Linked DNA regions of Notamacropus eugenii. The protein of the gene in region 1 purifies or fractionates together with the protein of each later gene. This does not show direct contact. Links are inferred from orthologs where the notes say so. Each region holds a gene or a part of one and is shown in the gene's direction. Other genes may lie near its edges. The genes, in order: PTPN14, WWC2, PDLIM7 and STXBP4.

The links.
Region 2: the proteins of PTPN14 (region 1) and WWC2 purify together in Homo sapiens (affinity purification with mass spectrometry, with the first as the bait; 3 studies listed by BioGRID). This does not show direct contact. The link is inferred for Notamacropus eugenii from reciprocal best matches to the Homo sapiens genes PTPN14 and WWC2.
Region 3: the proteins of PTPN14 (region 1) and PDLIM7 purify together in Homo sapiens (affinity purification with mass spectrometry; 3 studies listed by BioGRID and IntAct, counting the BioPlex papers as one, with this or other methods). This does not show direct contact. The link is inferred for Notamacropus eugenii from reciprocal best matches to the Homo sapiens genes PTPN14 and PDLIM7.
Region 4: the proteins of PTPN14 (region 1) and STXBP4 purify together in Homo sapiens (affinity purification with mass spectrometry; 3 studies listed by BioGRID and IntAct, counting the BioPlex papers as one, with this or other methods). This does not show direct contact. The link is inferred for Notamacropus eugenii from reciprocal best matches to the Homo sapiens genes PTPN14 and STXBP4.

What each region holds. Positions count from the first base shown.
Region 1 is NC_092873.1:423,312,695-423,320,993, forward strand, and holds the start of PTPN14 (tyrosine-protein phosphatase non-receptor type 14), read left to right. Parts: upstream 1-5,065; 5' UTR 5,066-5,180; intron 5,181-8,299. UniProt on the Homo sapiens protein: Protein tyrosine phosphatase which may play a role in the regulation of lymphangiogenesis, cell-cell adhesion, cell-matrix adhesion, cell migration, cell growth and also regulates TGF-beta gene expression, thereby modulating epithelial-mesenchymal transition.
Region 2 is NC_092878.1:101,433,931-101,441,919, forward strand, and holds the start of WWC2 (protein WWC2), read left to right. Parts: upstream 1-4,939; 5' UTR 4,940-5,357; coding exon 5,358-5,488; intron 5,489-7,989. UniProt on the Homo sapiens protein: Regulator of the Hippo signaling pathway, also known as the Salvador-Warts-Hippo (SWH) pathway.
Region 3 is NC_092872.1:414,317,424-414,325,395, forward strand, and holds the start of PDLIM7 (PDZ and LIM domain protein 7), read left to right. Parts: upstream 1-4,901; 5' UTR 4,902-5,029; intron 5,030-5,606; 5' UTR 5,607-5,672; exon of another isoform or gene 5,673-5,729; intron 5,730-6,438; exon of another isoform or gene 6,439-6,634; intron 6,635-6,807; 5' UTR 6,808-6,826; coding exon 6,827-6,922; intron 6,923-7,972. UniProt on the Homo sapiens protein: May function as a scaffold on which the coordinated assembly of proteins can occur. May play a role as an adapter that, via its PDZ domain, localizes LIM-binding proteins to actin filaments of both skeletal muscle and nonmuscle tissues.
Region 4 is NC_092873.1:366,587,091-366,594,654, forward strand, and holds the start of STXBP4 (syntaxin-binding protein 4), read left to right. Parts: upstream 1-4,505; 5' UTR 4,506-4,685; intron 4,686-7,564. Other genes in the region: COX11 (cytochrome c oxidase assembly protein COX11, mitochondrial), read right to left, coding at 1,009-1,164, 4,202-4,450. UniProt on the Homo sapiens protein: Plays a role in the translocation of transport vesicles from the cytoplasm to the plasma membrane. Inhibits the translocation of SLC2A4 from intracellular vesicles to the plasma membrane by STX4A binding and preventing the interaction between STX4A and VAMP2.

The sequences.
Region 1 (8,299 bases):
GCCTTGAATGTCAGGTAGAAGAATTTAAACTTTAATTGGAAGATAATAGGCAATCATTTTTGCATAAATGAATGACATTACCAGATGTAAGCATAACCTAAATTATTCTGGCAATGTGAATGAAGAACAAATTGGAAAGAGGATGGTAATAAAGGTAAAAAAATATCTGTCATAAAGCTATTGCAAAAGTTCAAGGGAATGATAATAAGCGTTTCCACTAGAGTGATGAAAATGAGAATAAACTGGAGGGAATGAATTTGTGAGATATTTTGGGGGTGGAATTTCTAGGATTATGAGAGCTGAAGGAGAGAAAAGGGTCAAAGATAACCCCAAGGTTATAAACATGAAAAAAAGGTTGGGTGATGGGGTAAAAGATAGAAATTGTGCAAAAAAAGTAAGAGAGGACTGATAATAGGAAGAAAGACAATATATTCTGTTTTGAACATCTTCAGTTTGGGGTAGTGGTGAGACATTCAGTTGGATATCTGAACTCAATTGAAGAAGCAGATATGAAACTCAGAAGAGAGGTGATAAAGACTTGAAAACCATGTGACAGACCCTTGAGGTTAGATCAAGAAGAGATCAAAAAGGAGTTGAGTATCCAGGGAAGGAGAAAGAGAAGAAATAGAGAAGTAAGAAGCAAACAAAAATATAAATGTGTCTCTGAAGCATAGGAGTCAGTACTTCCGAAAGGAAATGGTTAACTTGGTTAAAAGCAGTCATGTGCTGGACTCATCTTCTACCTGGATCCAATTTATTTTTCAGTATGAGCATTTAGACTTTGGAAATCAGTAAATGCAATCAGGCTTGATTTATTGTTTTTGTGCTTGTCTAGACCTAAAAAGTGACTGAGAAAATGTTAGAATAGATGAAACATAGTGTGTTTTATGTTCATTCCCCTGACTAGAAAGCTGTTTGTTAAACATTTACTAGCACACTCTTGGTGAAAAGGCAGAGGGAAATCAAGTAGAATTCCACAATCACAAGGTTACTGGTAATCTTTGAGAGAACAATTTCAGAAGAATCAGAATGTAAATGGTAGAAGAGAAATAAAGAAATGGAGATGCTGCATATAGCCAACTTTTCAAGAAGCCAAGTAATGTAGAGGAGTGTGGTGAGAAGACAGTATCTGAATGGGTTAAAAAAATCCAAAGAAAGCTTTTTTTTTAAAACTTTAAGTTAGGGAGACCTAATCATATTATTAGATAGTTTGGAAGAAACAAGGGGAGAGGGGGTAATTGAAGATATTCAAAGGAGAAAAGGGATGAATGAGGGATAAGATAAGAAGGGGCTGGAATGAGGGGGCAGTTAGGCAGCACAGTGGATAGAGTGCCAGGTCTGAAATCAGGAAGACTCATCTTCCTGAGTTGAAATCTGGGCTGTGTGACATTGAGCAAGTCACATTACGCTGTTTTCCTCACTTTCCTCATCTGTAAAATGAGGTGGAGAAGGAAATGACAAACCACTCCATTATCTGCCAAGAAAACCTCAAATGGTGTCACAGTCAGACATAACTGAAACCACTGAACAACAATAACTAGAATAAGGTCCTGGAGGAAGTGAGAGAGAATGTATGTAGGGAACAGGTAAGGTTAGCAGTTCTTAACCTTTTCTGTGTGTTATGGCTCCCTTTGGCAGCCTGGCAAAGCCTAGAGAATCCTTAGAAGGTTTTAAAATTCATAAACCAAAATACATTGGATTACAAAGGAAATCAATTTTACTAAAATAGTTACACATATGTGTGTATGTGTATATATATACATATATGCACATACATACATATACATACGTGTATATATATATATTTATATGAAAAATCCAAGTTCACAGAACCCAGGTTAAGCACCCCTGAGGTAGAAGATTATTCTTAGAGATGAGGACTTGGCAATACTTTTTCTGTGACCAAAGGAAAGGAGAGAAGGGGATATGATGCTGCCAAGTACTGAAGAAGGAGGAGGGACTTTGGGAGAGGTCATAAGTTCACAGATTTAGAACTGGAAAAAATCTCCAAGGTCACCTAGTCTACAAATGTCAAACACAGGGTCCCCAGGCAGCAAGCAGCCCAAAACACTTCTGAGAGTGATCTGAATCACTTTCTATCTGATTCTAATGCATTGGTGTATTAAAAAAAAAGAAATCTAAGAACATGTATGTTTTTCTAAGCTAATATGGCACCTGAAGGGATCTTTATGCATGATTAGTGGCTCCCATTTCTGTTTGAGTTTGACACCAATAACTACTTCATTCTCATCATCAGACAGAAAACTGAGGGACAAAGAAATAAAGTGATTTCCCAAAGTCACAGAGGCTGTAAGTGATAAAACCAGGATCTCAAATCCAAGTTTCCTGACTCCAGATATATACTCTTTCCATTACACCACCATATTACCTCAGTGTTCCTACTGAGTGCCTGGGATATACATAATAGGCACTTAATAAATGTTTATCGATGAACTGACTCAGAAGCAAGATTATATGCTGTAAATGTGAGGGCTTGTGGTGTAGAGAGGAGGAGAGAAAGCTTAAAATATACTGTGGAAAATAAAAATGGAGAATGAATAAAAGATACTGAAGGAGGGTGGATCACTATCAAAGGTCCAGTTAAGGTTATGTAACAAATTTGTAGTGGTAGTGAAGTCAGCTGTTTCATGATTTTTCTACAGCAAAGGTCTCATAATGTAACCTCCCTTCTCAGTAACCTCCAGTGGCTTCCTATTGCTTCTAGAATAAAATATAAGTATCCTAGTCTTTAAGGTATTTAATCTCCTGACCCCTTCCTAGTTTTCCAGTCTTCTTAAACTTTGCCTCTCTTCAAGCTCTCAATCTTCTGGCCACAAAGACCTATTTGTTCTTCCTTGAGTACTATACTCAATCTTCCATAGCCATACCTTTGCATGTCTCTCCCTCATGCCAGGAATTCTCTTTCTCCTCACCTCTACCTCTTAGTTCCCTTGACTTCTTTCAAGACTCAGTTCAAATCCTGCCTTGTGTAAGCAGACTTTCTTTCTCCACCCGCTGGTAGTGCCTTCCCCCACATGAAGTTATTTGTATGTATCATGTAAGTACTTATTTATATGTGGTCTCTCCTTATAGAATTAGAGCAGTAAGGGAAGGGACAGTTGTTCCCTTTCTTTGTATTTCTAGCATGCTTAATAACTGTTTTAAACTGATTGACTGATTACCTCAATCTATGCTTTGTGACTTTGGAGCTGGATCAAACCATTGGACTGTGGGGATGAAGATTCACAGGTCTGGAATGGCAGTAGGTGTGTGGGTGGTGGGGTGGGGCGGGTGAGGTACACAAGATTCTAGGGTAGTAGCGACAGTAATAGTAAGCAAATAAAGCAGAGATCGGATAGGAGACTAGGAATGGGTCAAAGAACTGAAAGTCCTAATTAGGCTAAGGAACAGGCTTAATGTAATAGTTGGAGAGGTGGAAGAATAGAAAATTGTGATTAGATAATGATCAGGGGATATTTGCTGTTTCTCCTTCCCCCTTACCACCCAAAGTATAAGAAATCTGAGAGGGCTCCAACCATCATTTTAGTCTCAAAAGGTCCGGACTTGCCCAAGGTCGTAGATTTAGTCAGTGTGGAAGGGCCAGGCCTATAACTGTGGTCAGGGCTTCTTTTACCCGTCATACTGCTTTACTTCAACATCACCTCCAAAAGATTTAGGGAAATACTCTTCCAGTGCCAAGCCCACGGGTGGAGCAATTATGTGGTACCACATGATCAGGAAGAAAGATACATTCCATTTATGTTTCTATTTATATGCATTTTTTATAAGCGGAGGGGGGGGGGTCGTCAAGGAGACTAGGTCCTTGATGCTCTAAGACCAATCTGGCCGAAAGCCACTAAGCATGCTTAGGATACAATGGTCCACTGCTTTCTCAGAGATGCTCTCTTCGGTGTCAGATGCTCCTGGAAGCTTGTGCGTGGGGTGACCAGGCACAGGGTCCCCTTAAAGGGGGGTATATTTGGTCTCTCCCAGAGGGTTTGGTCAAGCCCCTCCTGTAGCTCCGCCCCTCAGGGACGGAGGTGGGCTTTTCTTTCCTGCACTTTTGCTGCAACGTTCTTCCAGCTAGGGTATTTTTTTCCCCGTTTCCATTCTGAAGCTTATGACTCTTGGATGGTAGTTCACCTCGACCTCTTCTCACTATCCCCACCCTCCCTCCCCCCTCCTAAAAGCAAAATATTTAGAAGTCCCTGGACATCTACCGGCCCTGCAACAGGAGCTCCAGCAGCCCCACATTCCACGGATTCCTGCTCTGTGACGTCCCCAAGGCCAGAGCTCAGCGCACTGAGCAGGCTGCTTCGGCTAGGGAGCTCCAGCTTCGTGTTCCAAACACACGCAGAAAGAGACACACACACACAGACACACACACACACAGACACACACACACACAGACACACATACACACACACAGAGGCGCGCTCACAGAGCAGCAAAGCCTACACCCTTGGGACTCCTCTTCGGGCCACATTCCATTCCGCCCCCCACCGCGAGCCCCTTCCCTCCTTCCTCCTCCCGGCACCCCAGCGCCTCGGAGTCCAGCCGCGTTGGGGGGTGGGGGCGCCGCTGCCCCCGGCGCCTGCTTCGCCTTCTCTCCCCCAAGCGGCCCCTTTCCTCCCTCCCCTCTCCCTGCTTGCATTTCCTGCAGCTCTCGCTTGCTTAGCCCACGAAAGTCAGGGCAAACTTTTCCCTCCCCGGAGTGCAACGTGAGCAGCTCTTGGGGCAGGTTGCCGTAACTTTTTATTTTTGCCTCCGCCCCGCCGTCCCCTCTTCCAACCTTCAGTCCTCCTGGGAGAGCAAACACAAAGTAGCTGCTAGCGGGCCCTCCCTCTGCCTCCCACCTCACCCCATCCTCTCGGGCCTTAAGCCTTGGGATCTCCCGGCCGCGGAACAAAACCCACACTGGATGACTAGGTTTCTCTTCTCACTCTCCTTCCCCCTTTCCTTCTCCGGTCCTTCCCTTCCCTTCCCTTCCCTTCCTGGACTCTCCTCGCTTGATCCGAGCGGAAACCTCCCTCCCCTTTCTCCTCCTCCTCCAACTACTTCCCCCCTCCCCTTCCCAAATCAGCCACTGTAATAAATTCCTTGGGGAATTGGAGCTTCTGCCGCCGCCGACCTTTCCGTGGGGGACTCGGGACCTCTGTCCGGGGGGGACGTGTAAGCAGGTAAGTGTGGGGGTCCGTAACACACAGCGTGTTGGCTGAGGCTTGGAGCTCCGGTGTCCGTGCCTTTGCTTGGAGCCCCAGAGGGGCTTTGGGAGGCTGGCTTTCAGCTCCGCCGCTGCTTGCAGATGACTTTGGCAAACACTTGGAGAGCGAACTTGCGTTCTGGCCGGCCACAGACCAGACGGACGGACTGACGGACGCCTCCGCTGGTGCAGGAGTTGGCTGGCCAGTTGGATTATTCTCATAGTGAAGGCACAGAGCTTGCCTGGTGAGGGTTGGAGGTCGCCAGGGGTCTGATCAGCCGAAACCTCCTTCAACTCCTTTGAGTTTTGGGGGGAAGGGTTGCCTTCTGAAGATATCCACGTTGTTGGGGGAGGGGGAGTGATAAGGGATTTAGAACGTTCTCTTCCACTGAGGGGAGGCAGACTCCTCTGGTGTGACACCCCGCCGCCTAGCCCACTACGGGGAAGCCCGGTGAATAGAGAAGTTTCTTCCTGCCCCTCACTAGGCCCCATGTTTGCCAACAGCTCTTTTGGGCCCCGTAGCCCGTATCTTTGAAATTTGTCTGGGACCAAACTTTTTCTGGCTCACTCCTCCTCTTCCAAAAAAATCCCCCACAAAACGGATTGAGCTTTAACAACTCCTTCCTCATTGGAAAACAGTTTTTAGGGGGACACTTTGCTGGAGGCTTAGCATCGTCTCACCTGGAGGGAGCAGAAAGGTAAAATGTGCTGTCCACCTAGCTTTCTGCCCCCTTTTCTGTTTGCTCTCTGTAAGGCGAGAACTCAGGACGGAAGCATGGGGTTCTTACTTGTTGCTTTCCAGTGGGGACGTCTTCTAGTTCTGCAACCAAGGGCTCTTGCAGCAAGGATATTTGACAGTGTACTACTTTTTCCTCTGCGGATCAGTTTGAAAAAGAAATGATGGTTCTTTCCCCTCAACCATCAAATACAGAAAGAAAAAAAATACCCAGGATAGAATAAATCAAGATTTAGTAACCACAGGAAAATTCAGTCAAGTAGGGGCTGAGTTAAAGGTTAGAGGTCAGGAGAAGCCTTTTTCTCCAGTGATAGAGATGACTTAGGGCACAGACAGATTTGAATCAACCTGATGAAAGGGACTTTTATGCCCATACGTCCTCAGGTGTGGATTGAGCTCTACTATGGGCTGCAGGTTGTCGAGGTTGTCAGTAGCTGCGTTATTCCACCTTTCCTTGCGGTCACCTTTTCTTAGAGCGGTGAAGTGGCAGGTTGTAGCAGCAGTGGGGACTTTGCTACTGCTCATCCATTTTAGGAGTAAGCCCAATGGCTTGCCTATTTTGTGTAAGCACTATAGAGATCAAAGAACATCTGAAATGTACTTTTGCCTTTGTCATGCATTGGTGAGAGTGAGTGCTTTGTCAGTAATGCTCACTCTCTTCTCACTTAGAAATGCTATGGTTATTGCTGCAGCACAGTTATAAGAGCCACTTTCTTTTTCCTGAAACTTTATTAGGGACGGATTGATACATGTAGGAAGTTGAACAGAATATAACAGCTTTTTATGCTCTAGCCTGATATTATACTGTATAAGGTCGCTAATTTAGAAGGTTATTATGGTATCATAATAAGTGCAAGTGTCAACTTGTAGCTTGTTTTTAAATGAACTGCTCTTTGTAGGGCTGATATCATATGTCACCATATATAATGTGTACATACACTCATATTTACATACACTATATGCATTCCACAAGAGGGGGTGGGGTTAAGAGACTTGGGCAGGTTCATCAGACTGATAATCAGCTAGAGTTAGCCATGGAACTCTGCTCTTTTTGATTGTCAATCTAGTGCCCTTTCCTGTGTAACATGCTGCTTTTATTAATAGCACTACTATGATTAGTGCCTGAGTCTTGTGCATGGTGGTTGTGCCATGCTAGTGTTTGTGATTTTATTTCTATGCATCAGGCATCTGACTGGGAAAAATGTGTGGTTATTTCTTTTAAATAACCACTTGTGTTTGTCTTTGCCTCTCCACCTACTGGTGAAGATTCTCCTTGAAGGTGTATGATCTGAGTGGTTGGTGAAGACAAGTCTTTCTAGCCAGTTATACTTAAAGTAGACATTAAGTTTAGACAAACATTTCAGTTGCAGGCAGCAGCATGTAAATGAGCCAAGAATGGAAGAGCCTTTCAGTACACTAAAAAGATAACAGAAGTTTCAAGTGTCATAAAGACTTTAATTTTTCTTGAATTGTTAGGTGAGGGTGAGATACTGAGATGAGTTCCTCTTATATCTTTATTTTCTTATTGGAATCTAGGTCTTTTTGAATGGGATTAAAGATATTCAGTTGAATATCCAGGAGCTGGTTGTTCAGTTTATGGACTACCTGTGAAACCTTCTGTTTCTTTTTGGTCTGGACTAGTAATGTCTTTGATGTAGGGAACTCTTGGTGAGAAAGCTCCCTTTATCACTGCACAACAGCTTTGCTTCTCTACCCAGTTATAGTCTTAATTTCTCAGTGCCTCCAAGCATTGAGGGATGAAGTAATTTGTCCAGGGTCACACAGCATGTATTTGTTAGTGGTGGATCCTGAACCCAGGTCTTCCTGATGGCAAGGTTTGGTTTCTATTCAAAACACTACCTACTTCTCCCTTGTTTCTTTTCCTTCATCCACATCCTACTCTATTATTTTAGTTTTGTCTGTAAGTATTCAACAAATAAAATGAATTCCAGAGCTTTTATCACCTGAGGAAGGGAAGAGAGACAGGTTGTTGCTCAGTTGTGTCCAGTGGAGGCCAGATAAGTCTTCCTGACTCCATGGTACTCTGTACAGGAGCCAGGAAGACCTGAGTTCTGACCGCAGACACTTCCTAGCTATGTGACGCTGGGCAAGTCACTTCACCCTGTTTGCCTCAGTTTCCACATGTGTAAAATGATCTGGAGAAGGAAATGGCAAACCACTCCAGTATCTCTGCCAAGAAAACCCCAAATGGAGGAACTGAGGTCAACATGACTGAAAAAAGACTGAACAACAAATTTCCTAACAGGAGGTTCTATCCAGTGTCACTTCCAGTATCCCAAGAGAGACAGGACAAAACTCTTAACTAGTCAATTAAGTCTCATGCTGCTATGCAATGTGAC
Region 2 (7,989 bases), on another chromosome or scaffold:
AAAGATACAGTGGGGAAGAACACTTTGGGATGGAAAACTGACAAAATCAGCTTGTGAAGAAAGAGTTTCTCAGCTAAATATTTGAAAAGAGACATTAAATCTCCTGAGGACCAGTAAGAGGACAGCCACTGAGATGAAGGTAAAGTAGTGGTTGCGGACCATTGTGTTCCATCAGTTTCTTTGCATGTGACTATTTTTAGAATTTTGAAGTTTATAACTAAGGAATCATAAATCAAATAAGTGTGGGTTACAGGAAGATTATATAGGGGTTGTTGGGTCCATTGATGACAAAACTGGATTTTTGGAGTTTTGCCTCATCAAGTTACAAGTGGGTCACTGAAAACTGGGAGGCCCTCATTTGAAGCCAGCAGCAGCAGAAGCCATATGAGAGGAAGAAGTAGCTAGCAATAGGTACTATGTGTCAGGCACTCTATAATTATCTCATTTGACCCTCACAACAGCCCTGGGAGGTAGGCACTATTATTCTCCCCATTTTACACATGAGGAAAATGAGGCAAAGAGACATTAAAGTGACTTACCCAGGATCCTACAGCTAATAAGTGTCTGAAAATGAATTTGAACTGGGAATCTTCCTGACTCCAGGTCTGACACTCTATCCACAGTGCCACCTACTAAACTGAGGTCAAGAAACATCTCAAGACGGCAAAGATTGTTTACAGAAGACAGAATACAAAATCTGACAAGGACTAAGGTGACAAGAAAATTTTGTAGCTGCTTAGCTGGGAACCTGCTGATTAGAAGAGAAAGATTTCTTTGATCATGGACAAGAGAAAGGGTGAGTTAAGTGAGAGTTCTTCAGCCGCTCTGCTGTTGGGAAGAGAGCTAAATTCTAAAGTGTGCAGAGGAAGCTTATATTGCTTTCCAGCACCTTCTACCACCTGAGAGAGGGCTGTATGGTTGGTGTCTAATACCCTCTCTGGCTTGAGAGGAAGAAACATAGGGGGAAAGATAGACTGTGCATATGTTTTGCTATGAGCTGTTTTTTACTGTAAGAAGAGACTTGGAAAGAATTGGATGAAGCAGAATTCCCTAGTATTTGCAGAGCTGAGGAGTCTGTCAGTTCTCCAACTTAAAGTGACTTCTTGTCACTGAAAGAACTTAACAATATTTCTTCTGTCTTTATCAAGGTTGGGCTACAAGAGAAAAGATCTTATCTGCTTTGTTAGCTTGAAAGCAGAAAAGGAATAGGTCAGGACCAGAAAGAGAGTGGCTAGCAGAGAAACAGCTTCATAGGTTGGAGATTGTTCCTAAAGGGACTAGATGTATCAAAGCTTGGAGCCCAGGGGTGTAAGATACCCAAAACACATAAGTTTACAACTTTTATGTTTTCCTGTTAGATTTCTATAGATTTCCTCTTTCTCCTCAAATACTGTTAGCCTTGGTGGGAGGGCGTGACCCAGGAATATAGATGGTAGAAAAGTTTTTATAATTTCTGTTTTTGCCTTCACTTAAGTTGTGATTTTTATCATTCAGGCTTTTGCCTTCTGTTGAGTAAATGTTATTAATCAGTTGGTAAATAAATATTTATAAAGTATTTACTATATACCAGGCATTGTGCTAAGTGACAAATACAAAGAAAAGAAAGAAACAGTCTCTGCTCCCAATGAGTTCACCGTTTAATGGAAGAGACAATACACAGACAATTATGTACAAACAAGCTACATACCAGAGAAATCAGAGATAATCAACCGAGGAAAGGGAACAAAGTGTTCTCATAGAAGTCTGAATTCCTGTAAAAGAAGGTAGGATTTTAGCTGGGACTTGAAGGAATTCAGCGAGGCCAGGAAGCAGAGATAAGGAAGGAGTAAGAGCATCCCAGGCAGGGGGCACAGTCAATGAAAACGCCTGGAGTCAAGAGATTAAGAATTTCTTGTTCAGTGAACTGAGAGAAAGTCAGTGTCATTAGATCACAGGAACAGGGGGTTGGGGGGAGATGGAGACATGGGATGATGGTGCAAAAAGACTGAAAAAGTATCAAGCAGGTTACAGCAAAGGTTTATTCTTAATAATTTATTATCGTTGTTACTGTTATTTTTATGATGGCTGCTTTTGCTTTAGGCTTGAGTTAACATTGTCCTAGTGACTGACTTCATTTGAATGAGAAGCACATTGTAGGGGCTCAAGAGCTCCAGTGGTAAGCAGTAGAAGTGTTTTCCTGTTGGGACCCTGTGAGAGAGCAGTTGGTTGTAGCAGCCCAGTTATAGAAGTATTCAGCTCCACTCTGAGGAAGAAGAAAACAGAACTCCAGACTTCACAGCAGGAGGTCAGGTTAGGGCTGAGTCATTCAGCACCGACAGAGGAAGGTTGGGTCCAGGTGCCTTGTCAGATGTCAAGCCTGGCCCCTTGTAGTCACTATTAAAGTCTCTATACATTAGTGACTATCATTTTTGTAGTGTTGTGACTGCTACTCTTTTAATTTGAAATGACTTTTTCTTTTTGGTAGATTAAATTGTGTTCATTCTTTCTTTGGATATGGGAAAGAATGTGATTTCCAAGTATTCCCTAAGAACCACTAATGTCTTGACTATCATTGCCCAGTATCCATAGACCATGTTTAACCTCTGTTGAAAAACCAGGAAAATCCTGAATTTTTCCAGGTTGCTCAGGGGTTTTCAGAGGGGCCCTTTAGCCCATCCTCTCCCTACCTTCTTCCTAGCTCTCCAGAAATGCTCTTCTAATTATAGCTCCTGCAATGACTCTACTTAGCCTGGTACAGTGGAAACATTAGACCTGTAGTAAGAGGAGCTGAGTTCAAATCCTTTCTTTGCCTTTTTACTACTTGTATTATCCTAAGCAACTCACTCAATCTCTCTGGACCTTAGTTTCCTTACTGTGGCCTGTTGGCCTTCCTAGACGATTCAGTCAAAGGGTAGAACTTGAGGACCTAGAGGGCCACATGTGCCTCCCTCTCTAGATCTATGGTTCTATTTGAGCAGGCTATTTATTCTAAGGTGCACCTAAGTGGCATTGTGGATAGAGCACTGGGCCTATGTCAGAAAGATCTGAGTTCAAATTTGACCTATGTGACTCTGCTTGCCTCAGTTTCCTCATCTGTCAAATGACCTGGAGAAGGAAATGGCAAACCACTCTTTTCCAAGAAAACCCTAAATGGGGTCATAAAGAGTCAGACACAATTGAACATCAACTTATTAAATATGTTTTTGTTTCTTCCTTAAAGGTCTTTAATAGTAGGGATTGTTTCATTCATTATTTTTTAATCCTCAGTGCCTTTTGAAATTTAATGAACTTATTTGTTTTCAGTTTTCAACAATCATTTCCACAAGTCTTAAATTTTCTCCCCCTCCTTTTCCCCTCTCTCCCCATGCAATCTTATATGGGTTCCACACCATAGAAATACTTGTTGATTGAATGACAAAGGAATAATTCCAGAGTAAATCTAAGGACTAGAATCTCAGAATTTTAGCTGGAAGAGCCTTTTAAGATCATGTAGGCCAGTCGCCTTGTTTTATAGTTTAAGTAGTAAGATCCAGAGCCTTGCCCAGGTGACAGTTTCTTAACTATTCCCATCCTTCTTGATTTCCCTCTTCTCTGAATTATTAAAACACACATTATTTTGACCACAAAATTTAATTCTTCTTTGTCTTTTATTGGTTATCATGTGTTGTTTTCTCAAGAAAACTGTAAAACTCTGTGAGGGCAGGTATAGGGCTCAACACATGGCAGGTACCTGATACACTGTATTCAAAGAATGGTTTTTTAAAATTCCTGTTTCATCCAGGATGAGAGAACCAGGAGTCTCTCAAAGCCTACTGAGCTCCAAGGCCGCACTGGGCCTTCCCCGGGGTGGACTTCATGATTCTGCCCTCCCAGAGGGTCTTCTCTGGACTATCTACCCCACGGGCTGAAGCATTCTCAGCCTGATATGTCATTACAACTACAACAGAATTGTCCTAGAATGAGGCGATCTTTTGACTTGCTACCTGGTTCACAATGAGAACATTCACAGTAAAGCAGGAATTTTCTGTTGCACTGGACCTTCCCAGAAATCGACGTGACTGGAGCGCGAGGGTGTCATCCTGCCCTGACATCAATGGAGCAACTAGCTTCCAAACCCTGGCTCCTTTGTCCCTTCCTGGGGATAGCCCTGAAGCCCACCAGCCGGCAGAGGAGAGGCAGCATTGCAGCCAACACACATGCAGGACTAGGCGTTAAGGGTGAAGCCTGTACCTGCTTCCCTCCGAGGACTTGTTTACCTTTCCCTAAGAAACAAGGCTCACCTGAGAAGTGAACAGACTGGGGAGCACTTGGATGAAAGTCCCGAAAAGAAAACCTCCTAAGCAACAGCCACCGAAGTGCCGGGGGCTTTATTCAGGCTGCGGACCGCAGATGCCCTGCCTCCCCACCCGCCCCCCCAAAGCCAGCAAGGGCACCCAGCTGCCAGACACTGGACTGTAGGAAGGGAAGGAAAGGGGGGAGCTGGGCGGGGACTTGGAATCTGTTTGTGCGCTGGGGGCTTTGGGGGGATCCGGCTTTTCTCGCCCGAAGGGGAGATTCCCCTTCCTCTCGCTCCTCCAGGAACCCACAGGGAAGTTGGGAGGCTGTGGGCAGAGAGAGGGAGGAAATGTCAGAGTTTCCCTTTTGCAATCTCTCCCATTCTTGGGGGGCAAGAGGTGTTTAGGTCTTTGTGAGGGCAGGGAGGGAGAAGGGGAACAAGCTGATTTTAAAAATTCTTCCTCCTTCCTCCCACCTAGCTTCCCCCTCCCTTCCCCGGACCCCCTCGCTGGGGCAGGACAGCCCCGGGGCGCTGCAGAGGGTCGCGGGAGCCGCAGGGTTAAGCCCGAGGAATGCAGCGGCGAGGAATGTGCATGCAGATGAGCGGAGGGGAGGGAGGGGGCGGGGCTGCGGTGGGAGGGGCGGGGCAGGATGCTAATCATATGCAAATGAGCAGGATCCTCGGCCCCCGCCGCCGCCGCCGCCGCGAAGACGCAGCTTTTCCCGGATCCCAGCCCAGACGGCGGCGAGTCGGGCAGCCCGCGGGGAGACCCGGGGGAGGAGGAGGAGGAGGAAGAGGCGGAGGCAGCGGCGAGGAGGAGGAGGAGGAGGAGGAGGGGGATAATCCTAGTCAGTCTCCGGCTCCCAAGTGGACATGGTGGACTGATCCCAAACAGGACAGGGAGCAGGATTTCCTGGACGCTCCCCCCCGCCCCGTGTCGGGGTCCCCGCTCCGGTGCACCCCCGCCCCTGCACCCCGCCCCCTGCACCCCGCCCCTCCCTGTGCCGCGCGGTGCCCTGCCCGCTTCCCGCGGGGCTCCCGCCCGGTGCCCCCTGCCCGCTCCCCATGGAGGAGCCGTACCCCGGGGGGGCCGCCGACGACCATGCCTAGGAAAGCCGGCCATGGGCAGCTGCCGCTCCCCCAGGGCTGGGAGGAGGCCAGGGACTACGACGGCAAGGTCTTCTACATCGACCACAACACCAAGAAGACCAGCTGGATCGACCCCCGGGACAGGTGGGGGCGCGGGGGCCGGGCCGGGGAGACCCCCTCCCTCCCCTCCATCCCCCGGCCCATCCTGCCGCCCGAGGGCTGAGGGCTGAGGGCTGGGGGCGGCCGCAGGCTAGCGCTGCGCAGCGGCGGCGTTTGTCGTCCGGGAGACCGGGCAGAAGCGGCCGCTGCCGGTGCGGGGCGAGCTGCGGCGGGAGCCCGGGGGTGGGCTCGAACCCGCGGCCGAGCCGGCGCTGGGGGACCTCGTCGTGCATCCGCGGCTCTGGGCGAAGGCAGCCTGGCGGAGGGATGAGCCCAGGGGGCTGGACCCGCGAGCCCTCCCGGGTGCAGGAGCCGTGGCAGGGAGGGTCTGAAGCTGTCCGTCGTAGGCCGTGCTGGACAGCCAGCTCTCTCCCCATTGCACTCGGGTGGATGGATGGTCTCCCGAGCGCTGGGAGGGATGTCAGGCCGGGGCTCCTAACAGTCACAAAGAGATTAAGAGCCAGGGTAGGGGACAGAAGGCTGTTCCAGAGGAGGCTTTGCCTTCCAAAACAAAAGGCTTGAAGTGGGGGAGATGGGGAACTGAGTTACCCAGGCTACCTGTAGACATCTCTGTCAGTGGGACTTCCTACACCCCACCCTCTTCTCTCATAGTTGGAGTTTACAACTACATACAATATAGGGAGCCCAAGCCCACCCTTTGGAAGTCAGATTTTGGAAGCCTGTCTCTGCTGGAAAGATTAAACCTCGGAAGATGTATTACATCCTCCTGAGTGTGTAATGTATACAGTTCAATAGCTGACTTGACTTCCACTACCTTCCCATTCTTAGAAATGTAGACTATGTGCTTCATTACCCTATAGCGAGTAGCCTTTACTTTGAGATAGCGAACTGGGCAGTTTCCTTATCGTACAGTTCTTGAAACTATTCTTTAGCCAAGGCTGAAGGAGACCTGTTGGTCTTTTAGCCTTTGGAGACCTAATGTAACATCTACTCGCTCCCATTCTACGCTTGGGAAGCGTTTGCCTTTTCCTAGCCTGTAGGTATAAAAGAAAAACTATATATGTAATATATAGTTGGAATTTACAACTAGATACAGTGTAGGGAGCCCAAGCCCACCCTTTGGAAGTCAGATTTTGGCAGCCTGTCTCTGCTGGAAAGATTAAACCTAGAAAGATGTATTACATCTTCATATTACAAATATTATTACATATTACATATAATATTACATATGTAGTTACATAGTTATATGTGTGTATCTATATATCTAAACCATTCTGGAACTTTAAAAAATATCTAGTGTATCTAGTGAATATCTAGTGTATCTAGTGTTCACATTTTACATCTCTGTCCCTCCTCACTTTTTTTTTTCTTTTTAAAGAGTAAGTTGGTCGTTATTCGTACTAGGAGGGTGAATTTGGCTAGTTGTAATAATAATAGTTAATAGTAACAGTAATCAAGAATAACTCAGCCCTTTTGGACTTTTACCTCTTTCTGAAATTTCTTCTTCAGTTATTTATGGAATGTGGTCAGAGAAGTTAATAACCAGACTCTTTAAATTGCTTCCCCTTCTAAAGTTGTTTTTTTAAGATCTGAAGTAGAAATAGCCCTGGAATATAGTTACAATATTGTTATCCTTTATACTGTAGCTTCCTTCTACCTTTTGTATATTACTTGTAAAGGCTATTAAAGGTGATTATAAGGAAGTTATAAATGACATTATATATTCATGGAACAATCCTTGTTAAATTATCCATGAAGGTATCAGCTTAGGTTTCCCTACTGAAAATTAGAAAACGTACTTGTGCAGGACCTATCCCTTGTCAGAATTGCGCCCACCTCTTGCAGAGTGAAAGTTTTGACCAACATCACACCTTCTACAGGTGTCTCCAGTCATATTAGGTATTGCCATAAACTTAACACTGTAAATGTGTTATTTGACTTACCCCATTGCACTTTGAAACCACTTAACAGATAGTAAATGTCAGCTCTAATGTTATGCATGGAACTTCGTCATTGATGCACCTGTTTAAATATTTGCCTTCGACATTTGTGGGGTAGTTATTGCTTTTTCCAATACTTGTAATTGTAGGTTATTGAAATTTCAGGAAATTCTTGAAATATTTGGGTATTTTAAGTTCTATTCTGCTTCAGTTTGCCCTTTAGATTTTATCTTCCTTTCTATATTTACCAAATAAAAAAAAGATTACCAGAAAATGTAAATGCCCTAGGAAAGCAAATAGAAAGTGAAATATAATTATATAGCTAGGCTTATCTGTATCAATGCTTCTTAAACAAGTCAGCTGTGTGTTATTTTAAACTGTTATTAGATTATCAATTCTTGAGAATTTTATTGTCAGGAAAATAAGTAAACAATGCATCTTTTTGTCTGATGTGACTAAAAGCCAAAAAGTTGGTCCATATTACTTTAGTACTGTGATGGATGCTCTGGGGATGTTGGACAGATGTGACTACTTTTGCTCTAAGTATTGGGATTTTTTTTAAGTTCTTTTCTGAGGTGAGAGCAA
Region 3 (7,972 bases), on another chromosome or scaffold:
ATCCCCTAGTCTCTCCCCTCTCTACTCTAGTCTCCCCACAGTGTTAAAATCCCTTCCTAAGGCACAAGTCTGACCCTACCACAACCCCACCGCTCAAAAGTCTATTGCCTCAGGGATCAAATTCAGATTCCTCTGGCGGACCTTTCACAGTCTGGCTCCAATCTACTTTTCTTGACTTATTACTCCATTTTGCTGTTTCTCCAAGTTGCAGTCTAAGTAGCTATAGCTCTCTGGACTCAATTCCCCTCTTTTTGCCTTGCACAGGCTGTGGCCCCGTAGGTGTGGCACACCTTCCATTTTAGGGTTCTAAGCTTCCTTCAGAGCTCGACTCAGCTAAGTCCTCCCCTCATTAGTGCTCCCTCTCTCATCAAAGCACTTTATATATACTTACTTGTGTATGTGTTGTATTCTCTCAGCAAGACAGAAACTCCTAGAAGACAATGACTTTTTTATTTTTGTCTTTGTACCCCAAGTACCTTATAAATTGAGTAGTTTGTTAAGTGAATGAATGAGAAGTAGGGAGGAGGAGTTCTCTGGTTGGGGCACAACAGACCCCATCCACTGTTAGTCGGTGTACAGGCCTAGGGATCCCTTAGATAGGCCCTTTCTAGTTAGCCTGAAAAACTCCCTCTCTCATCATATTATAACATGCTGTTGTTCAGTCTTTCAGTCTCGGACTTTTGTCCATGGAGTTTTCTTGGCAAAGATGCTGGAGTGGTTTGCCATTTCCTAGATTATAGGATAATTTAATTCGACAGGATTTATTTAGTGACTGTGACATTTATTTATAGAATGCATATAGAATGCAGGGCTCTATGTTAGGCAATGGGGACATAACGATGAAAATTCATGGGACTGTAATTTTAGAGCTGGTAGGGACTTTAGGGGTCACCTTGTCCATAATCAACCGCACTTTGTAGCTGAAGAACGTGAGCCTGAAAGTGCTGAAGTGATTTCACCCAAGGTCTCACAGTGAGCAAGTGGTACCAGAGCCAGGATTTGAACTCAGGTTTCTGACTCAGAATCTAGCATGCTCTTACATTACAACGTGGTGCCATAATTCCTGCCTTCAGAAGGAGTAGTATGTGTTTTGTGGTTATTGCTCCGTAGTGTCTGACTCTTTGTGATCCCATTTGGGGTTTTCTTGGCAAAGACACTGGAGTGGCTTGCCATTTCCTTCTCCAGCTCATTTTTTTTTTTTTTGTGGGGGGGGACAGTAGGAATCAAATGACTTGCCAAGGGTCACACAATTAGTGTCTGAGGCTAGATTTGAATTCAGGTCTTCTTGACTCCAGGCTGAGCACTCTATCTACTATGCCACCTAGCTGCCTCTAGTATATGTACCCAGATAAATATAATCCAAGATAGAATATGATAGGGGCAAAGAAAAAGGTCCAAATGCTCTAGGAAAATCTGAGAGGGTTCACTATCTGAGGGATGCATCAAAAAATGCTTTGGGGAGGAGGCTGACTGATACACAGATGCATTCTAGGCACAGGAGACAGCCAGGTGAACAGGCCTGAAGATGAAAGATGGTATTGTTGCTTGTGAGGAACAGAGAGAAGGCCATGGCCATTTTTGTACTTTGGAAGTTTTTCCATTTTCTCTATGTTGCTAGTACAGTCCCCTTGAAAAAGCTTACAACTGGGAACATGTACACTAAGGCTAGGAGAATCAGTGGTATCAGCAATCCCTAGAGGTCAGACAGGGACTGGGGGCAGTGGGAAAGACAGAAAGGCTTGCCCTGCTCCACCCTTACCATCAAATAAAGAGATCAGACCCTGCTGCTACCCACTGAACACCTTCACCCAGTCTCCCACCAATAACTAAAATCCAAGGGAGGTAGAGATGAGTTTGAAGGAGAGATCCAGGCAAATTGCTAGGAGAAATGTGAAAAGGGAGAGAGAGAGAAAGACAGAGAGAATCAGTTTTACCTGATGAGGGGGGGGTAAGGCATCAGGGAAGGAAGCCTTCATGGAAGTGGTGACACCTGAGTTGGCCCTTCAAAGAAGTGGAGTATTTCAACAGATATGTGGAGGTGGGGGTGTGGGATGGTTTTGAGTGAAGATCAACATCTTTGGTCAAACCCAATTCTAGCCCCTTCTGAGGGTGTTTTTGTTTTTTTTTAACTTTTTTCAAGGGGTCTCTACCCCTCTAGACAAGAGTAGAGAGGGGAGAGACTAGGGGATAGACCAGGGGTGGCCTTGAGGCCACATGTAGCTTGAATTCAATCAAAGGGTTACATTTGAGGGCCTAGAAGGCCACATGTAGCCTTGAGGCCAAAGGTTCCTCACCCCTGGATAGACCAATTAAAGTATCCATTGCAATAGTCCTGGCAAGAATGATCAGGCAAGGGTTGAACTATGACCCTATAAGTGAAAAGAAGGGGATGGATCCAAGGTACATTACAGAGGTAGAATCAACAAGATTTGGCAACTGGTCAGGGAGAGGGAAGGAAGAAGAGCCAAGAAGAACTCTGGTAGTATCACAGACAAAGTAGGGAAGGCTGGGGAAGGGGCAGTCTAGGCAGAAAGCAGCCCTGTGGGTAGAGGCCCCTTGGGAAAAAGTTAAAAAAACAAAAACATCCTCAGAAGGGGCTAGGATTGGGTTTGACTGAAGATGCTGATCTCAGAGCTAGAGGGACCACAGAGGGTCTCTAGTAATAAATTAAAAAAAAAAAAAGAAATAAAAATAAATAAAAAATAGAAGCTCCTCACAACCTGCCCTGCCCCCTTGCTTCTGACTGAAGACCTCCAGTGATGGAGAGCTCATTGCTTTCCTGCCTGGATTATTCTCTGTAGCTAGGTCTCCATCCAGGCAACTGCCTCAACTTGCTTTGCCTTGAATGAGTTTGGAGAAGTCCATAGATTCTCTAAGATCCCAGTCCTTTTTTTTGGGGGGGGGGGGAGAGGTCAGAAGGAGATAGAGCCCATGCTCCACTCTTCATTCCTAGTCTTCTGTCTTCTCCCCATTTTTATGTCTTCACTCAAAACCATCCCACACCCCCACCTCCACATATCTGTTGAAATACTCCACTTCTTTGAAGGGCCAACTCAGGTGTCACCACTTCCATGAAGGCTTCCTTCCCTGATGCCTTATCCCCTCATCAGGTAAAACTGATTCTCTCTGTCTTTCTCTCTCTCTCCCTTTTCACATTTCTCCTAGCAATTTGTCTGGATCTCTCCTTCAAACTCATCTCTACCTCCCTTGGATTTTAGTTATTGGTGGGAGACTGGGTGAAGGTGTTCAGCGGGTAGCAGCAGGGTCTGATCTCTTCGTTCCATTATAATCACCTTGAAGGTAGGACTGTCCTCAGCGTATAATCGGGTGTTTGATAAAGTTGGCTGAATCAAACTGAGCTGATTATAGGGATACAGTCAGCTAGACATAGATCTCTCAGTCAGCTTCGAGCAGCACTTAACAGAAGCAAGGGTTATTTTTTTTTCGGGGGGGGTGGGGGGCAGGTTACTTCCTTGAGGAGGGGTGGAGGATGAGGGAAAGTTTCTTGGAGGAGACATATAGTGTTTGTCTGGTAGGAAGGGAGCTGAGGGGGAGGGGACACTTGGGGGTGGTTTGTTGTGGCCAAAGCCTTTGGAGGGTGCCTGGAGATTGGTACCAGGGAACAGGGCAATGCAGTCAGTGAAAAGACTTCTAGATGTTATGTAACTACAAAAACCTGGAAACAACCAAAATGTCCAACAACCGAAGAATTCAAGAAATCATGGTATATTTGTAATGGAATTCTATGTCATAAGACCCACAAGTTAAGAACACAAAGAAATCTCTGGAAAGACCTTTAAGAAAAAACGGCAAAGTAGAGAAAGCAGAAGAATGGAATACTTACTTCTATGACCATATAAGACAAAAAGTGAATGAGAATGAATAGACAAAGAAGGAATTCTGAGGTGAACTGAGAGGGAGTGACCCAAAAATTCTTATGATTCTTCATTTTGAAATTGATTAAAATATTTTATTTATATCTTTTGTTTTTACATCACATTCCTCTCCAGACATATTCCTTCCTCCTTGTGCCCAGAGAAACATCCCTTGTAACAAAGGATTAAAAAAACCCAGAAGAGTAGTGAAGTCCAACTAATCAGTACATCGACAAAGCCTAACCATGTGTGCCACGTGCTGCACCTACAGGGTCCCCCACCCCCAGTAATTGATTTGAATGTAAACAGTTACTAAACAAGTTTCTGCGGTCATCTTGAGGGTCGATTTTAAGCTTTTTTAAAAAATTATTTTATTTTCAGCACTGCCTTCTCTCTCTCTCCCCTCCTCCTCCTCTTTTGGGAAAGCAAGAAAAACATTTTACAAATATGTAGAGTCAAGAAAAACAAATTCCCTCCCTGGCGACGTCAAAAACACAAGGGCTCAAGCTCCAAGTCTTGACGTTTTTACCCTGTCCCCCCTTTTAAGTCTAGGCAGGAAGTCGGGAGATCTGGGCTCTCATTAGGGTCTGCTCCCGGGAATCCTGGATAGAGCCTGAACTGGCAGAAGGCAGCTCTTGGTGCGGACGCTGCGTCCGAGCACTGCTCAGCTGGGTGACCGGACCAGTCCCTGAACCTGGCCGAGTCTCAGGTGCCCCGTGAAATAAAGGAGAGTGCGCTCGAGGACCTGCGGGAGCCAGGGCCAGCCCTGCCACCCCGCTGCAAAGAGAAGTCCACCCGAGCTGCTCGCTCTCGGGGCATGCAGGCCCAGGCGCGGAGCTCCCGGGGAGCGTCCACCTCGCCCTCGGGCATCCTCCGGGGCTCGGCCCGCAGGGGCGGGGAAGGTGGGAAGGGCGCGGTCGCTCCCGGACTCTTCGGGTCCCCCCCGGGCCGCCCGAGACAAAGCGGGAGAAGGGGCGGGGCTCGGACGGGGGCGGGGCATCGGGGGCGGGGCCTCCCAGACCCGCCCCCGGGAGCTCAAAGGCGGTGGCGGCGGCTCCGGGCGGAGCCAGAGCGCGCCGGGGCCGGCCCGAAGCGGCTCGAGTGCGCGCAGCCCGCGGTCCCCACGGCGCCCCCGACGCCCCGAGCGCTGCCAGGTAACCGGCGGTGGGCAGCGGGCGCGGGCTTTCCCGAGCGCGGAGCCACGCGGCTGCCGCTGCCGCCCCCGCCTCTGCCCCGGGGCTCCCGCTCCGGGCACCCCGCCCTGTCCGGCCCGGGGCTTCGGGCTCAGGCTGGGGCGAGAGCAGCCCCGTGTCAGGGCCCGGCCGGCGGCCCCGCCCCGGGAACTGGGAGGGAGGCAGGGAGGGAGTCGCCCCGAGCACCCCCCATCCCGGGGGCGGTGGGGGAGCTGCTGAGTCCGCTTCTCCCGGAGGGCGGGCGGGCCTGGAGACTCCGGGAACCACCGGACCCCTTCTCCTTTCCTCCCCGAGCTGCGGTGGGGGACTGATGGACAGCCCCAGTCTTCCTTCCCTCGGTGGGGGGATGGGTGGCTGACCCTCGGTCCCTCCCCGGGGAGGGGGCTGACATCGCTGGGGGGATTGGAGGCGCCGCCTGGAGCCGGTCCGTTTACCTTCTTGGGAGGCGAAGGCGCTGACTTAGCTTTCTCGGCTCTCCCCGATGGGGGAGGGGGTGCCGGGACGCACTTATCTGTCAGTTCTTCTCCTCTGCTACCAGCCTGCCTTGCTTGTCCTACCTCTCCCAGAGGCTCCGGAAGTCTCGTGAGGATGCTGACCTCCGGACGTGAGCTTCTGCCCTTTCTCTTCGGGGGATCGGAAGGCACCTCCAAGGCCATCTATGGTCCGACCCTCTCATTTTACAGATGAGGAAACTGAGCCTCAGGGGGGGGTTAGATGACTTGCCACAGGCTCAGACCCCTCCTGTCCTTTCTCAGGGAGAGGGAATATCTTTCATCTAATGTCTGGGAGACCTACCCTTAGGCAGTGGTACCCTTCCAGTCCACAAGACTGTTGGACAGTACATTTTAACAGGCTTCTGGGGAAACTGAGGCAGGAGGGCTAAGGGAACTTCTGGCCATATTATATATCTGGCCTGCCTTATATTGGCAGCAGCTTTCCTGGCCTAATAGTTACCTAGGTGTTAGTCCTTTCCTACCCTGAGAAGCAGGCCCTCAAATGTCAGGACCCCCACACACACCTCTAGCCTGGAAGGGTGTTGAGCACTAGGCTTGTTTGTCTTAGTTCTAGGCCACCCTTCCCCATGTTCCCTAGGGGCTCTTCAGAAAAAGAAGCAGGCCCTTTCCCTCCTCAGAGTCAACAACACATCTCCTAGGCCTGGTCTCCTTTCCTCTGAGATCAGCTGTCAGCTCAAAGGGTTCCCTCCTTCTCTTCCTGTCTTGGCTGGGGGAACAGCCAAGGCTGGGATGGGCTCCAGTCCCCTCCCCCACAATCTCTCTTCCCTTCAACCCCCCCCCCCCTCGTCCCTGAGCCCCCAACGTGCAGTATCGGCTTTCATGCCTTATATAGCCTGAGTGAGGCCTCTATGTTTCACTCTGGCCTGCCCCCACTCTGACCCTGCTCTCACCCAGAGGCTCAGGGGGTGGGGCTGGGTGGGGGTAGAGGAGAGTTTTTTGGGCTCTCCCCATCCCTGACTCTAGAAGACTACTTCCCATTGGATTCTCAGGGGACCCTTAAGCAGAACCCCTTACTTAGTGGGGGATGTTGTCAGGGGAGAAAACAATCCAGGTTAGAGATGAACTTTCTCAGGGCCTGAGCAGTTCCTTCTCTTTCCCTTAAGCAGGTCGAAGTCCTCGACTCGATGTCTGTCCATCTGGCATCTGGCCCGATGTCTGTATGTCCACTGTCAGGAACCAGTCAGCCTGCGTGCCTCAGCTGAATCTTTTCTATTTTTCCTTCAGGAACAAATCAGCTGGCACCATGAATCCATACAAGGTGACGCTGGATGGGCCAGCTCCATGGGGTTTCCGGTTACAAGGGGGCAAGGACTTCAACGTGCCCCTCTCCATCTCTCGGGTGAGACAAGAACTTACCTCCTCGTTGAATGAGGGTGGGGCAGTAGGTATTAATGTGTTCTTTCTGGGAGTTGGCATAGGAAGCAAAAAGAATGGGGCCATTGATGGTTGTTCTAGTGGGCAGGAGGATGATGATTCCAGGTCATACAAGAGTGCAGACAGGGTTTGGGACTTTGCACTTGGGACTGGGTTTGAATCTTGGCCCTACTACTACCTACATCAGTGACCTTGGGCAAGTCATTTAACCTCTGACTCTATAAAATGGGGGATAACATGACCTATCTAAAAGGGTATCATGAGGAAATAGTTTTCTTAGTGCACTGGTTGGTTTTTGGAGTCAAAAGGCCTAAACTGGAATTCAGCTCTGCTACTTATTCTGTGTGTGTGACCTAGGGCATATCAAGTTCTAGACTTGTAGCATTTTTTGTAAATTTTATAGTGCTTTAACTATGGAAAGTATCATTTGTTGAATTTTGTTTGGGCAGATGGGCTCTGCTGAGTACTAAGGGTGAGATGGAAATGGATAAAATTTGGTCAGTGGCACACAGTGGGTCTGGAGTCAGGAAGAGTTCAAATCTCTCCTCAGACACTTGGTAGCTGTGTGACCCTGGGTAAGGTACTTTGCTTGCCTCGGTTTCTTCAACTGTAAAATGGAGATAATATCGCAGCCTACCATGTAGGGTTGTGAGGATCACTTGAGATATTTGTAAAGCACTTAGCATAGTACCTGGCACACAGTAGGTGCTGTATAAATACTCATTCCTTTCCCCTTCCCTTTGTTCTGCCCCTCAAAAGCTTGCATGACACATCTGCAAATCCATAGATTATTCAAGCTAGAAGGGGACGTTAGAGATCATCTGATGTAACACCCTCATTTTCTCTGTGAAGAAAAGGGAGCCCATCGAGGGGATGTGACACAGCCAGAGTCACACATTTGTCAGTGACATCACTGAGCCTCTGTTTCAGGTCTCCCAATTCCCAGCCTTCCCTTCCCTTCCATGAAACACTCTGCAAGGCCTTGGGCAAGTGTAGCTCCGGGGAGATCAGTGTG
Region 4 (7,564 bases), about 57 Mb from region 1:
TGTTGGGGACAGAACTTTAAGAAGGGGTAGGGAAATGGACAAGGAGTCAGTGAATCAAATGAGTGGGGGAAGGAGTAAGAGGAGTACCAATTGACTGCACTGATTCTGAAGCCAAGGGTAATGAAAGTATCCCAAAGGAGGAGGTGGTCAATAGTGTCTAAAGCTGCAAAAAAAGGTCACTGGGAGGGAATTTTAAAAGGGTTGTTGGTGACCTTTTTGAGAGCAGTTTCATAAAGTGGTAAGGGAGAGGTATTGAGGAGAAAGTAGATGATGAGGAAGTAGAGGCATCATAAACTGTAAAAACTTTCAAGAAGTTTGGCAGTAATGAGAGAGAGAGAGAGAGAGAGAGAGAGGAGTAACTGGCTGGAATAGAAGTGTCAAAGAAAGGTTGTTTAAGGTCCTAGGATTGTAGACCATGTTTGCAGAGCAGGGAGGGAGAAACAAGAGGAATGAAAGACAGGTAATGGTTTTTGGAGGGAAGGTCAAGTGAGGAGGATTGAAAATAAAGGGGAAAAAATGTTCTGGCTCTCAAGTTAAAGAGATTACATAGTTTAGCAAGTATTTTAATCAGGGTTTTATAGCAGTGATGCTAACGCTCACCATGATCATTTCATGAGAATCCAGGAGTTCCTGAAACCTTGTGACACTCAGTTCTTGGAAGCAAGGGTGGAAAAAATGTATGGGAGTGGGAGAGGAGAGAAAGAGGAAGAGACTAGGCAGAGGGAAGGAGAGAAACACATTAACATGATTAATATTAGTCATAATTTATAAATTTTTAGATGTGATTTTCTAAAGATCTGAAATTACTTAAGAGTAACAAGAATTCATTTTTGAATTAAAGTTATTATCTAGTCCCATCCTACCTCTAAAGCTGACCCCTCCTGATGGCCTATGGAGGGTCATACCTCTCTGGGCTTTAGTTTACTCATTTGCAATATGAGGGGTTTGAATAAGATAAAGGTTCTTTCTACCATTCAGCATGGACTACTAAATGTGGCAATCACTTACATATATTTCGGTTTGTTGAGGCCTAAAATTCCAGTGAAGACTTGCATGCACATCTGCATTGAAGGTGACTTTAATGATTCGATCCTTAACAGGTACCATAGTCTCAATCTGGTCTGAAGCATGACCAGCTACAGGTGACCCACCAAGTCCTGTGGTCTGGGAAAAAATTATTACAAAGTATATTAAAAACAAGATTTATAGATTTTTAATGAAGGTGCATCATAATCATGAAACGTTCCTTTAAAACACTACCACAGGATTAAAGGACACCTGATCTACAGTGGGCAGCTAGGATAGTGTGCCAGGCCTGGGGTCAAGAAGATTCATTTTCCTGAGTTCAAGTCTGGCCTCAGACACTTACCAGATGTGTGACCCTGGGAAAGGCACTTAACCCTGTTTGCCTCAGTTTCCTCATCTGAAATGAGTTAGAGAAGGAAATGTCAAACCACTCCAGTATCTTTGCCAAGAAAACCCCAACTGAGGTTACAAAAAGTCAGACACAGCTGAAACAACTGAACAAAGACAAAGATCTACAACTAGAAGGCACCTTAGAGGCTAAAGATTTTTTGGGGGGGAGTTGGGGTTAAGTGACTTGCCCAGGGTCACAAAGTTAAGTATCTGGGTTGGATTTGAACCCAGGTTCTCCTGACTCCACCTAGCTGCTTCCCCCACTACTCCCCCAAAAAAGATTTCAACCAAGTCCTGAAGTCCCAAAAATATGCTTTCCCAATGGAGCAGAGAACTACTATTTTAAATATGTCTTCAAATAACTGTGACAGTGCTCCTAATTGCTTCAAAATATATAAACATGCTATGCTACCATTTAAATTTTGTTATTATTAGTGCACCTTTTAAGATAAGTATGGAATACCTACATTTGTACAATCATTTTACTTTTAAATGTTGAACATCTTAACTAATTTCCAAATCAGTTCACTAAACAAAGCAGAAGCTAGCACTAAATAACAAAAGGCATCTGAGGCTTTATTCTAGTGGCCACATCCCTAAGAACCTGATAGTCCAGTCATTTAGTCAGTTCTAGATCAATCTAATTATATTCAATTGAAAGCATTTATTATGTTCCAGACATTGTGCTAGGCATGTATAAAGAAAATATCAAAGCAAGAGTACTTGTTTCAAAGGGCATACATTTTAAAGAGGAAACAACAGGCATATACATACACATATGTATATACATGTGTATATACATATCTACAAAACACACAAAGCAGATATAAGATAAGCAGGGATTGGGGGATAGACGTACTACCAGGAAGGGCCTTATATTAAAAGTGGCACCTGAGTTGAATCTTGAAGGAAATTCCCAGGAATTTCCAAAGTTGGAGATGACAGAGAGTTCATTCTAGGAAAAGGCGAGTCAGTGCAAAGACATTGCCTGTCATTTGCAAAGAATAGAAAAACTGTAAAATGCATGGGAGGAGTAATGTGTGATCAGGTTGGAAAGGCAGGATGGAACCATGGTTTAAAGAATTTTAAATCATAAAGAGGAGTTTATATTTAATCTGAGAGAGGGAGACACAGCTTCATCAAGTAGAGTTCAGACCTGAACTTTAGGAAAATTACTTGGCAGCAGTGAGCAAGAAGGTAAAGATAGAAGGCAGCAGGCAGGTCTGTTTAGAGGCTATCTCAATTGTCCAGAGAAGTGAGGAGGGCCTGAGTGGAAAGTGATTGCCAGGGGAGAGATGTAAAGAGATGCTGCAGAGGTAGAACTGACAAGATCTGGCCATTAGCTGGGAATGTCAGGTCTCCAAGTCTAGCTGTGCCTCCTAATTGCCTAACAAGCAGGAGCCTGGTCTTCTCTAAATGTCATTTCCTCCAGGGCTCCATACAATGTTCTGTACCCAAACACCACATACTTTGTAACCTAACCCCTCCCCCCCCTGCCTTTCCAGTTTTCTCACACCTTACTCCTCAACTACTACTTTGTAACCTAACCCCTCCCCCCCCTGCCTTTCCAGTTTTCTCACACCTTACTCCTCAACTACTACTTTGTAACCTAACCCCCTCATGCCTTTCCAGTTTTCTTATACCTTACTCCTCAACTACTACTTTGTAACCTAACCCCTCCCCCCCCTGCCTTTCCAGTTTTCTCACACCTTACTCCTCAACTACTACTTTGTAACCTAACCCCCTCATGCCTTTCCAGTTTTCTTATACTTTACTCCTCAACTACTACTTTGTAACCTAACCCCCTCATGCCTTTGCAGTTTTCTCACACCTTACTCCTCAACTACTACTTTGTAACCTAACCCCCTCCTGGCTTTCCAGTTTTCTCACACCTTACTCCCCCCAAACTACCCTGATCCAGTGAAACTGGCTTCATGGCTGTTTCAAGAACAAGACACTGCATCTTTTGGCTCTGAGCATTTTCTCTGGCTGTACACCCTACGCATGGAATGCTCTCTCTCCTGTCTTTGCTCCAACTAAAGACCTCCCTGACTTCCTGTAAGTCTCAATTAAAATCCCACCGACAGGAAGCCTTCCGTACCCCTCTCAGTTTTAGTGCTTTCTCTCTTTCCATTATTTCCTATTATTTGGTTGCATTTTTATCTCCATGCCAGGTTGTAAGCTCCTGGAGAGCAGGGGCTGTCTTTGGTCTCTTTTTGTATCCCACCACTTGGCACCAAGTTTGGCACACAGTACGTGCTAATTAAGTGTTTCTGGAACTGAACTTAATAAATATTTGATGAATGAATGATTGAATGAATGATAATACGGGCAGTGTCACAAAGGACAAAGTGCGGGAATCTCCAGAGCAGGGAGCTGGTTAACAGCATTAAAAGATGCCCAGAGGTCAAAGAGAATAAACACTGAGAAGTCACTGCATGGAGCAAGCCTGCATTCACACAGCGCCTTTGTAAAAGCTTGCAAAGCACTTCACGTAAATTATCTCACTGGATCCAGATCACCAAAGACAAGGAGGGGTGGGCGCTATTTTTTACGCCCCTTTCACAGATGAGGAGGCTGAGGCCTGGAGAACCCAAAGTCACAAAGGGCTGTAGGGGGCCGGGCTGGGATTCAAACCTCAGTCCTCTACAACAGACCCAGACTCCTTCCCGGTAAGGTCCCGTCCAGTCGGCGCGACCTTGGGCCCGTCCCTCCCTGCTCCGGGCCTCGGTTTCCCGGCGGGTAGGAGGAGCCTCCGGGTCCGGGTTGCCGGCGGCTGCCCTACCTGGCAGTAGAGGCGGTAGAGGGGCACGGCGGCGTACGAGGCCCCGATCATGCCCACGGCGGCCGCGGCCACGTACGTGAGCACGGTGCGGTTCCGCCGCCGCCACTCCTGCTCCTGCTCCCGGGCGAACGGGTTCGTGCTCTTCGGCCTCCACGGCGGCTGCCGCTGTTGAGGGGCCGCGGCCCGGCCGCCCCACCAACCCCAGCAAGCCTGGAGAGGCTTCCAGTGGGGCCGCCCAAACACCGCCATGGCAACCCGGGCGAAGCGCCCGAGCCCCACTTCCGGCCCCGGAGAGCGCGAGATCGGGCCCTCGCGAGCGTGGCTGCTGGGGCCCCGTGACGTCAGAGCGCGCCGTCGGCTGGCGCGGCTTCTCCAGCCCGCTGCGGCGGCAGCGGCAGCGGCAGCGGCGGAGATAGCAACGGCCCCTCTTCCAGCAGCCTCGGCTTCGGGGACGCGCTACGGCGGCCGAGCGGCCGGATTGTGGGTGAGTTCGCGTTTCGCTCCCGGGCTCGAGCCCCTCCCTATCCGGCCCCCAAACTCCTAAGCTTCTGGTTCCGCGCGTGGAATCTTCCTCGGTGCCAACCCACTCCCGCTCGAGTCTGGGGCGAGAGTTCCGCTCAACCGGAGACCCCGCCGGCGGCCTGAGCCCCTCCACCCACCCCCAGTTACCTCTCCCGATACTGATAATGAAAGGAGGCAGGCTGAGAGGGAGAGCCCGAGTGTGACTCGCGCCTCTGCCCTTCTTGCTGTGTGACCTGGGCAGCGTCGCTCAGCCTCTCTGGTCCTCGGAGCCCAGCTGCACCAGGAACGACCTGGGCTAGACCAGAGGTTCCTTACATTTTGGGGAGGATTGTCACAGACCCCCTGTAGCATCCCATCGAGCGCGCTTTATTAAGTCCCTACCAGGTGCCGAGCACAGTGCTAAAAGGCTGGAGACAAAGAGAAAAACAAACCCCAGCCCCCGTTCTCCAAGAGCTCGTAGTCAAGTGGCAGCCTCGTAGACCCGATGAACTCCCCGACCCCACCTCACTCCCCAAGGTTTTAAAATTCATAAAATACATGGGATTTTAAGTCAAGTCGGCAAGCATTTTTTAAGAGCCTATTGTGTTCGGGGTGCTTTGCTAAAGGCTTAACAAGTATCCCACGGAGGTAGGGGATACCTTTATTCCCCTTTTGCACATAAGGAAGCTGAGGCTGAGAGAGATTGAGAGACATGTCCAGGGTCACAAAGCCAACACTTGTGTGAGGTGAGAATTTGAACTCAAGACTTTTCCAAGTCTCTGCCCTCAAGGAGCAGGGGACAACAGCGCATGAAAAGGAAACCAATTACCTTGAAATACAGTGATATCAAAATACTTAAAATGGATTCTCCCTGTTGATAATCCCTGGACCAGATAATTTTTTAAAAATTAAATTCTGTCAAATTTTTTTTCCCCATCCTACGGGCGTTTGTTTTTGTCCCTTTCTGTCATCTTCCCCACTCCCAAACAAACAAACAACAGCAAACCCCTTGTAACAAGTAAGACATAATCAAGTAAAACACATTTCCACATTGGCCAAAATAGATGTCTCATTCTTTATAATGCAGAATATTTAAAAACCTTTCTGCTTCCGTGGTCTGGATCTAGTGATTTAAGGACCTACATTTTCTTTCTTTTTTTTTTTTTAATTAATACATTTAATTTTAGTTTTCAACATTCATTTCCATAAGCTTTTGACTTCCAAATTTTCTCTACATCTCTCACCTTCCCCACTCCGAGACATTGTGCATTCTGATTACCCTTTCCCCCAATCTGCCCTCCCTTCTATCACACCCCTCCTTTCCCTTATCCACATCTTCTCTTCTTGTAGGGCAAGATAGTTTTCTATACCCCATTACCTATATTTATTTCCCAGTTGCATGCAAAAACAATTCTCAACATTTGTTTCTAAAACTTTGAGTTCCAACTTCTCTCCCTTCGTCCCTCCCCACGCATCCCCACTGAGAAGGCAGACAATTCAATATAGACTATACATGTGTACTTATGCAAAAGACTTCCATAATAGTCATGTTGTGAAAGACTAACTATATTTCCCTCCATCCTATCCTGCCCCCCATTAATTCTGTTCTCTCTTTTGACCTTGTCCCTCTCCAAGTGTTTACTTCTAATTACTCTCTCCTCCCATTTGCCCTCCCTTCTATCATCCCCCACCCCACTTATCCCCTTCTCCCCTACTTCCCTGTAGCGTAAGATAGATTTTCATACCAAATTGAGTATGCATATCATTCCTTCCTTAAGCCAAATGTGATTGAGGGTAAGCTTTTTCCCTCTCACCTCCCTCCTTTGCCCCTCTATTGAAAAAGCTTTTTCGTGCTTATTTTATGAGACATCATTTGTCCCATTCCATTTTTCCCTTTCTCCTCCTAGTATATTCCTCTCTCACTCCTTTATTTTTTTAGATATCATCCCTTCCTATTCAACTTACCCTGTGCTCTCTCTCTATATGCATATAATCCCTCCAACTACCCAAATACTGAGAAAAGTCTCAAGAGTTACAGATACTGTCTTTCCATGTAGGAATGTAAACAGTTCAATTTTAGTAAGTCCCTTATGATTTCTCTTTCCTGTTTACCTTTTCATACTTCTCTTGATTCTTGCATTTGAAAGTCACATTTTATATTCAGCTCTAGTCTTTCCATCAAAAATGCTTGAAAGTCCTCTGTTTCATTGAATGATCGTGTTTTCCCCTAAAGTATTATACTGTTTTGCAGGGTAGGTGATTCTTGGTTTTAATCCTAGTTCCTTTGACATCTGGAATATCATATTCCAAGCCCTTCAGTCCCTTAATGTAGAAGCTGCTTCATCTTGTGTTATTCTGATTGTATTTCCACAATACTAGAATTGTTTCTTTCTGTCTGCTTACAATATTTTTCTTTGACCTGGGAACTCTGTAATCTGGCTACAATATTCTTAGGAGTTTTTCTTTTTGGATCTCTTTCATTAGGTGATCAGTGGATTCTTTCAATATTTATTTTACACTCTGTTTCTAGAGTATCAGGGCAGTTTTCCTTGATAATTTCAAGAAAAATGATGTCTAGGCTCTTTTTTGATCGTGGTTTTCAGGTAGTTTCATAATTTTTAAATTGTCTCTCCTGAATTTATTTCCAGGTCAGTTGTTTTTCCAATGATATGTTTCACATTGTCTTCTTCTTTTTCATTCTTTTGCTTTTGTTTTGTAATTTCTTGATTTCTCATAAAGTCATTAGCTTCTATCTACTCCATTCTAATTTTTAAGGAACTATTTTTTTCAGTGAGCTTTTGAACCTCCTTTTCCATTTGACTAATTCTGCTTTTTAAAGCATCTTCTCATTGGCTTTTTGGA